Macaca mulatta: one gene and its partner. The protein of the gene in region 2 binds, or shares a complex with, the protein of the main gene of each other region. Links are inferred from orthologs where the notes say so. Each region holds a gene or a part of one and is shown on either strand. Other genes may lie near its edges.

What was found. The genes of interacting proteins can lie anywhere in the genome.
Region 1: the proteins of RAF1 (region 2) and RAP1A are in contact, whole or in part, in a crystal structure (PDB 3KUC), measured with the Homo sapiens proteins. The link is inferred for Macaca mulatta from reciprocal best matches to the Homo sapiens genes RAF1 and RAP1A. Residues at the interface, in NP_001341619.1 of Homo sapiens: Thr57, Arg59, Asn64, Lys65, Gln66, Arg67, Thr68, Val69, Val70, Lys84, Lys87, Val88, Arg89, Gly90; in NP_001010935.1 of Homo sapiens: Val21, Gln25, Ile27, Val29, Asp33, Pro34, Ile36, Glu37, Asp38, Ser39, Tyr40, Arg41.

What each region holds. Positions count from the first base shown.
Region 1 is NC_133406.1:128,545,955-128,549,707, forward strand, and holds the start of RAP1A (ras-related protein Rap-1A), read right to left. Parts: upstream 2,719-3,753; 5' UTR 2,692-2,718; coding exon 2,635-2,691; intron 1-2,634. UniProt on the Homo sapiens protein: Counteracts the mitogenic function of Ras, at least partly because it can interact with Ras GAPs and RAF in a competitive manner. Together with ITGB1BP1, regulates KRIT1 localization to microtubules and membranes.
Region 2 is NC_133407.1:151,425,400-151,429,052, forward strand, and holds part of RAF1 (RAF proto-oncogene serine/threonine-protein kinase), read right to left. Parts: intron 2,761-3,653; coding exon 2,662-2,760; intron 913-2,661; coding exon 759-912; coding exon of another isoform or gene 740-758; intron 159-739; coding exon of another isoform or gene 99-158; intron 1-98. UniProt on the Homo sapiens protein: Serine/threonine-protein kinase that acts as a regulatory link between the membrane-associated Ras GTPases and the MAPK/ERK cascade, and this critical regulatory link functions as a switch determining cell fate decisions including proliferation, differentiation, apoptosis, survival and oncogenic transformation.

The DNA of each region.
Region 1 (3,753 bases), on a different chromosome or scaffold from region 2:
AAAAAAAAAAAAAAAAATTAGCTGGGCGCAGTGGTGAGAGCCTGTAGTCCCAGCTACTCGGGAGGCTGAGGCAGGAGAATGGCGTCAACCCGGGAGGCGGAGCCTGCAGTGAGCCGCGATCTCGCCACTGCACTCCCGCCTGGGCGGAAAAAAGAAAAAAAGGCAGTCTAATATGGCTTCCTAATATGCTTTAGGCTAGAACAGAGGTTCTCAAAATACGGTCCAAGACAGAGGCTCCCCAAGGCCAAACTATCTTCCTAACAATACTAAGATGTACTCTTCTTCTTCTCTCATAAGTTTACAGTGGAATCTTCCAAAGTAGAACATTTGCTATTCCAAGAGACTGGATACAGAAGCAGGCATAAGAGCCCATGTGCCTTCTATAAACCAGACATTAATAAGACTTGCACAAATGCAAAACAATCCAACACTTCTCATTTCTTTCTTACTAAAAGTAATGTTTTACTACTCCTCTGAAACTTATCCTCTGTCTTAATTTTCAGGGACATCTCATTCATTGATTCACATAGATTATAATTTTATTCCTCAGGTTTTTGTACTGGATCATCTCTTTTCCTCTCTTGTATCCTCATTTTCCTCTCCAGTGGAGAGGAATTGCCCCAGCATACAAATATGCTTTACTATCTCCAATTCTAAAACAAAAACAAAAACCTCCCTTAACCCCAATATCTCTCCAGCTTCTGCCCCCATTCTCTGTCTCCTCTTATAATCAAGCTTCTTCAAATGTCTATATTCCATTTCCTCAGCTCTCATTTGCTCTTCAACCCACCCCACTATGCTTATGGCAACATGACCTGACTAAAGCTGCTTTCTTTACCATGTCCCACTACCTCTATGCTCTCTGATCATCTCTTTCCTCTTTTTTACTTGACTTTTGAGCAATCAAGTAAAGACACCTTCTATGCTAGATCCTCCAATCCTACCCACTTCCTAAAGGTTGAGAGGTACTCAGAGCTCAGTACTGGGCTCTGCTCTTCTCTCTCTAGTATCTCCCTAGACCTCTTTCACTCCTGTGGATTTTTTTCCAAAATTATTTCTGAAAAGGTGATTCATGGACATAGCACTAAATTCAAAAGGCATAAAAGGCTATGCAGTGAACTAAGCTTATCTACCACCCTTGTTCCCAGCTATCCAGTCCCACTCCCAAGAAAGTAACTGATATTACCCATAGCTTATTTAACCTTGCAGAGATACTCTATGATTTTACAGCTATCTGCCCTCAGCCTACACTTTTTTTAATATAAAACACAAATTATAGTCTACACTGTTTAGTACCTTTTTTCTCTGTAATACATCTTGGATATCATTACATATTGGTATATATAGAGCTATTGCATTCTTTCTAATGGCTGTATTCTACTCTGAAAATGTATTAAAATTTACTTAACTAGCCCCTTAATGGAACACATTTAGGTTGTTTCCAGACTCTGGTCACTTGGTCACTGTAAAGAATGTTGCAATGTTCCCTGACCACGCCATTTTGCACATGTGAACTTATATGTGGGCTACATTTTTAGAAAAGGAATCTTTGAATTGAAAGTTATATGCCATTAAAAATGACAGATATTCTCAAACATTCTCGACAAAGGCACTAATTTACACACCTAACAGTAATGTAACTCTCATGAAATTAAATATCATCACCATATTGATGGCACCCAAAGTCATATCACCGGTCTCTCTCTTTTATTACTTCAACATGTCACAAACATAAAATCTGGCTTGACTCTTTGATTTGGACTCTCACTGCTCATTCTCCACTGTTTCCCTTCTTTTTTTAATCCATCCATAATAGTAGCTCAAACTAGAAACCTGGGAGCCATCCTTGACAGCTCCTTCTCTCCTAGTCCCCGTATCAATCTAGCACCAACTTACGTCAGTTCTACCACTTACTCAATCCTCAAACATCTACTTCTCTTCTCTCTTCTTCACTGCCATGGTTTTAATCCAAGGTTCCATAAACAATGATCTGGTATACTGTATTAACTCCCAATTTGTCTCCCACATCCACTCTGCCTTTCTTCTAAATTAATCCGTATTTTTTTTTCAGAGTATCTCTCTCACAAGTATAACCAAGGAGTTCTTTGTTTAATTGTGTATTTATCACATCTCCTCCACTACAATGCAAGCTCCATGAGAAACTATGACTGTTTTTGTTCACTCCTGTGACCCTAGAATCTGACATTGTAGAAGCTCAGTAACTATTTACTAAATAAAAACAGCATGAACACAAAAAATGACCTTCATTCCATGTAAGTCTAGAGTGGAAGCAGGTGAGGAATTATCCCAATAGAATCTGTAATAATCAGTTTCCCCCACTACAATGTAAATTCCTTAAAAATGAGAACAATCTTACTCCTCTCTGAATCATAAACACTGGTGCTTGCCATGTAAGACAGTCAATAAATAATTGATAAATGTAAGAATAAATGAGCCAACATTATAAAAGTGTATATCTGTGGTTATTAAATGATTTCCCGTCCTTTGTGGGGCAGATACCAGATATATAATAATGCCACTTTTTCTCTTTGGTGTCTAGAAGTCTGAAAGCAAGGAAATATCAAAATTCTTCTTGTATTATACTAATCAGTTACAGTTAGGTGGCTAACTTACCAGAGCAGACTTCCCAACGCCTCCTGAACCAAGGACCACTAGCTTGTACTCACGCATGATGTGATCTGTTTAAATACTGACGATCTGAAAAACAAACAAACAAAAAAATCAAAGATTAAGAAACATACTAACAGCCTAATAACGTACAACTGCTACATCAAATATAGGAGTTTGTTTTGTTTTTTCCTTGTAAGACTATCAAATGGACAACAGAAGCTACATGGCAAAAATCCATACAGATTTTAACATAAGTTTATAGGATTACTTTCAGACATTTTAATTCACTGAAGATCATCTTTGACTAGGCATCAATTATGTTCATATTACTTCTAAGAATCTTTGATTAAAAACAAGATGATTAAATCCAACAGTTGATAATCTTATGACTACAATGATAAACCTAATTCTTTGCAAAGCTATCATTTAAACAACTTATGTACTTTTAAAAAATATTCACTCATGAGCTTTAATATAATGTACAGGCTATTTTACTTGCTTAAAATATTCTACAGTAATTCTACACTATTTTGTTCATTATTGTATTATAGCTGAACCATTTAAAGTGTCATCTTGAAAATAATTAAAGATGTGAACAAGAGATCAGATGAAATTGCTAAACACTATAGGCAGTTATTAGCAATACACGACATAAGGCCCAAATGGCCAGAGAAAATAAAAGGAACATAAACTTTATTTTTTATCTCCATGGTTATCTTAAAAGGTATAAAGACAGGAAATAATTTTCAATGGCCATGGTGGAATAACTAGAAACAGACTTTTCAACTCACAATAACAGCCAGAACAGTGAACAAAAAAATATAAAACTCTTTTTAGATATTGGATAACAAGCAGTGTAGGACTGTGATTTCTGAGATGCAAAAGAAATGAAGTGAGACCTAACCTGCCCTGGCTTTCTGCCTAGAGGCACTTTTCAGACTATGGTGAAGGGAGAAAGAACTCAAGCAGAGCTTAGAAGTGTGCCAGAGAAGTGGAAGCTAAGCATATAAAATTCCAGAAATCGGCATAAGGATTCACTTGAGTCTGGCTAAGCACTAAGCCCAGCACACAGACTAACTTCAAAAAGTAAGGCAAAGAATAAATAGAGATTTACAGGTGGAA
Region 2 (3,653 bases):
TAACTTTGCAACTATTTCATTTTTGGTAGTCTACTGTCTGACAGTTTCAGCAATCCTGTTAATTACAAGAAAGCAAAAGCATGAAGAAAAATACCTACTCTTCCCCTCAAACAAAATCGTCTGGACCACGCCCTGGGAGAAGCATTCAGGCTGTTATTCTAGTCCAAAGCAATGAGAAATAAAGAAGAATAAAGAACAAAGGAAGTATTTAAGTGTATTCAGTTGTTATTAAAGATGAAGCAGAAAGCAAATTAAACCAATAGGACATAACCAAAAAGCCAAGAAAAGAAAAAGCAGTTCAAAAACACTAGCTTTGGGCACTTGGACATCTCCCTAAATACCTGCTTATTAAATCCTAGGACTCCACCCTTTTATTTCTAAATAAAATCACAAAAGTCTTCCAGAGAATCTGTAGTTCTCCATCACTGTTATTTTCTGTCCCACACCAAAATTAAACTCCTCTTTAAATATCTTAGGCACTCGTTCATTAAAAGCCTATTCAAATCTGATAATGGGAAGAGTTCAAATGTTAACATATTTTTCAGGAAATTTTAGTTCTCCACTTGAATGATATACCAACCAGACTATTCAGCCAGTCTAAAGATATTATGGATATAAAATAAACTGTAAAAGTCCAGAGACCTGAGAAAGTGTTGCAACATTCTTTGATCAGATTTGAAACCCAAAACTCTCTGAAATAAATATCACCCTCACCCCATTAATTGACTGACATTACCACCCCCAAGGGGCCCTATTACCTCAATCATCCTGCTGTCCACAGGCAGGGTGGTGCTGACCATGTGGACATTAGGTGTGGACGTCGACCTCTGCCTCTGGGAAAGGGAACCTTCAGATGAGGGACTGGAGGTGTTAAAGGTGAAGGCGTGAGGTGTAGAATACCTGTGCTGAGAACTAGGCAAGGAGGAGAAAGAAAATTCCATGATTGGCATTTAGGCTTTCATACTGGTGAAGTCTTTCAACTACCTACTTGATTAAGATGCTTAAGGGCAAACTCTACCTGTACAACCTTTGACACAATGTTTGATTCTTTCAAATATGTGACATCTAAAAATTATCTTAAGTCTGGGTGCTTTTGCATACAAAATTTGGAACAGGAAATAATATATGTATTGGGAATTCAATGAAAAAGAGAATGTATTGTAAGTTTTCTTTTTTTTAATAAAGCGCCACCCGAATACTCCAAATTTTCACATCTTCTCCGGGAAAGAATAGATTAACATTTGACAACCACACTACCACTTATTAAGCTAGTTGAAACGTGCCCAGTTTAATTTAGAGACTAAATTTGAGAACTTTAAGATTTTAAACAGATAAGTAGACGTGCTGAGCATGTCTGCAAAAAGGCCAGACGTTTTCATTATTTGTTCTAAAGATTAGTTTGAGGTTTGTTCAGATTCAGTTAACATCCATGTATGAATTAAAGGGATAAAAGGCCAGCTTTTCTAAGGGAAATTGTTCTATTGTCTTGAAAAAATGCCTTCCCACATAATTCTGTTTATGGCTTCAGAGGCCTGGTTTCTTCTAATCTTCAGAGGTAACTACAAACTCTTGGTCAGATCTGCTTTTCAAATTATCAAGAAAAATAAAAGTCATACACAAATATATATCCAGACATATGCAAATTCCTTATTCTGACATATGCTGCCTTTAATAATTTCCATAGTAGTTTCACATTAAACATTATCTGATTACACATTATGTGTGTGTGTGTGTGTGTGTGTGTGTGTGTGTATTTTTTGGAGACAGAGTCTTGCTCTGTCACCCAGGCTGGAGTGCAGTAGTGCCATCTCAGCTCACTGCCTACCAGGTTCAAGATTCTCCTGCTTCAGCCTCCCAAGTAGCTGGACCAAGAGGCGCATATCACCACATCCAGCCAGTTTTTTGTTATTTTTAGTAGAGATGGAGTTTCACCATGTTGGTTGGCCAGGCTAGTCTGGAACTCCTGACCTCAAGTGGTCCGCCCACCTCGGTCTCCCAAAGTGCTGGGATTACAGGCGTGAGCTACCATGCCTGGCCTAAAGTAAGATATTTTGGATGTAGATTTTACTTTAGGTTTCAAATTCATGTGTGTAACACTGAGCAATATGTGAACTGAACAAAACTGATTGTAAAGCTGGAAAACAGAGTAAAGACAAGTTATATGCAAACTCAGAGACACATTAGAAACAATATTTATGCTGAAAATATAACTAAATGTTTTTTAAAGACACTAGTCTATTTAAATACATGGTTTTAGCAAATGCAAGGCCATAACATGCATTTCAAAGTTAAGGGTTTTATTTTTATTGAATCACTGTATCAAGTTTTGGGACCCTTTCCATTGAGGTTGAACTCAGTACATACTGAGGAAAGTAGAATCTCAAGCTCTTTAAAATGTAATGACATATTAAGGAATATGCTACGATAACAGAAGAAACTATAGTCAAAGTCACTTTCCAGAATATAAGATCTACAGATCCATAAAGAGAAATTTCTACATTTTGCTGTACCACCAGTATCACATTCCACAGAAGCAGCAAGGGATTTCCACATAGAGAGGAGGGAATGTGAAGAAACTCTTATTTTTTGTCTTTGAGCTTCCAACCCCACCTCCCCCCCCCAATAACTTTCTAAAAGAAAAGCTATAGGTAAAAAAATTACCTAACAGGCATCCTGGAAACAGACTCTCGCATACGACGCATAGTCAAAGAAGGTAGTGCTGGGACTCCACTATCACCAATAGTGGAATTTGGAAACAATCTAAACAAAAGCAGGGAAAGACTGGTTTTTAGGCTTACAGTAATCTTACAGAGACAATCAGCGTGCCTTGCTTTTGCAAACTCAGAGCTACTAAAACTGAACTTTTCCCAGTCACATTTTCCTCAACTGTTTTACATTACCTAGAATAAAGGGAACAATTTCCAAATAACTGGGTTTGAATGATTATTGAATGTGAATAATACTGACCTGCCAATAAACATACGGGCTCCAGTGTGCTTTTTCTTTTTTATTTTCTTTTTTTTTGTTGAGATGGAGTCTCGCTCTGTTGCCCAGGTTGGAGTGCAGAGGAGCAATCTTGGCTTACTGCAGCCTCCGCCTCCTGGGTTCTCCTGCCTCAGCCTTCCAAGTAGCTGGGATTACAGGCACACACCACCACGCCCAGCTAATTTTTGTACTTTTAGTGGAGACAGGGTTTCACCATGTTGGCCAGTCTGGTCTCGAACTCCTGACCTCAGGTGATTCACCCGCCTCAGCCTCCCAAAGTGCTGGGATTACAGGCGTGAGCCACCACGCCCGGCCCAGTGTGCATTTCTAGGAAATACTGGTCCTATGTCTAGCTATATCAAAATAATGTTTTTCAAACTACAGTAGAACATTTTACAAACTATGTCACACAGAGCTTTTCTGGAAACATTCCATCTTGAAAATAGATAAAAAGACTAAAATAGGAGGAATAAATCACAGAAAAGTGAGTAATTAGGCACCTTCTTTCCATGAGCTGGGCACTTGTCAGCAAGCCTCATAAGAACAATGCAAGGAAGGTAATATCCCCTTTATTCAGACGCATGAACGAAAACTCAGTTGTGGTTATGGTTAATGACAATAGTGAGATTCTGACATACGTCTGTTAGACTCAGAAGCTTGTGCCACCA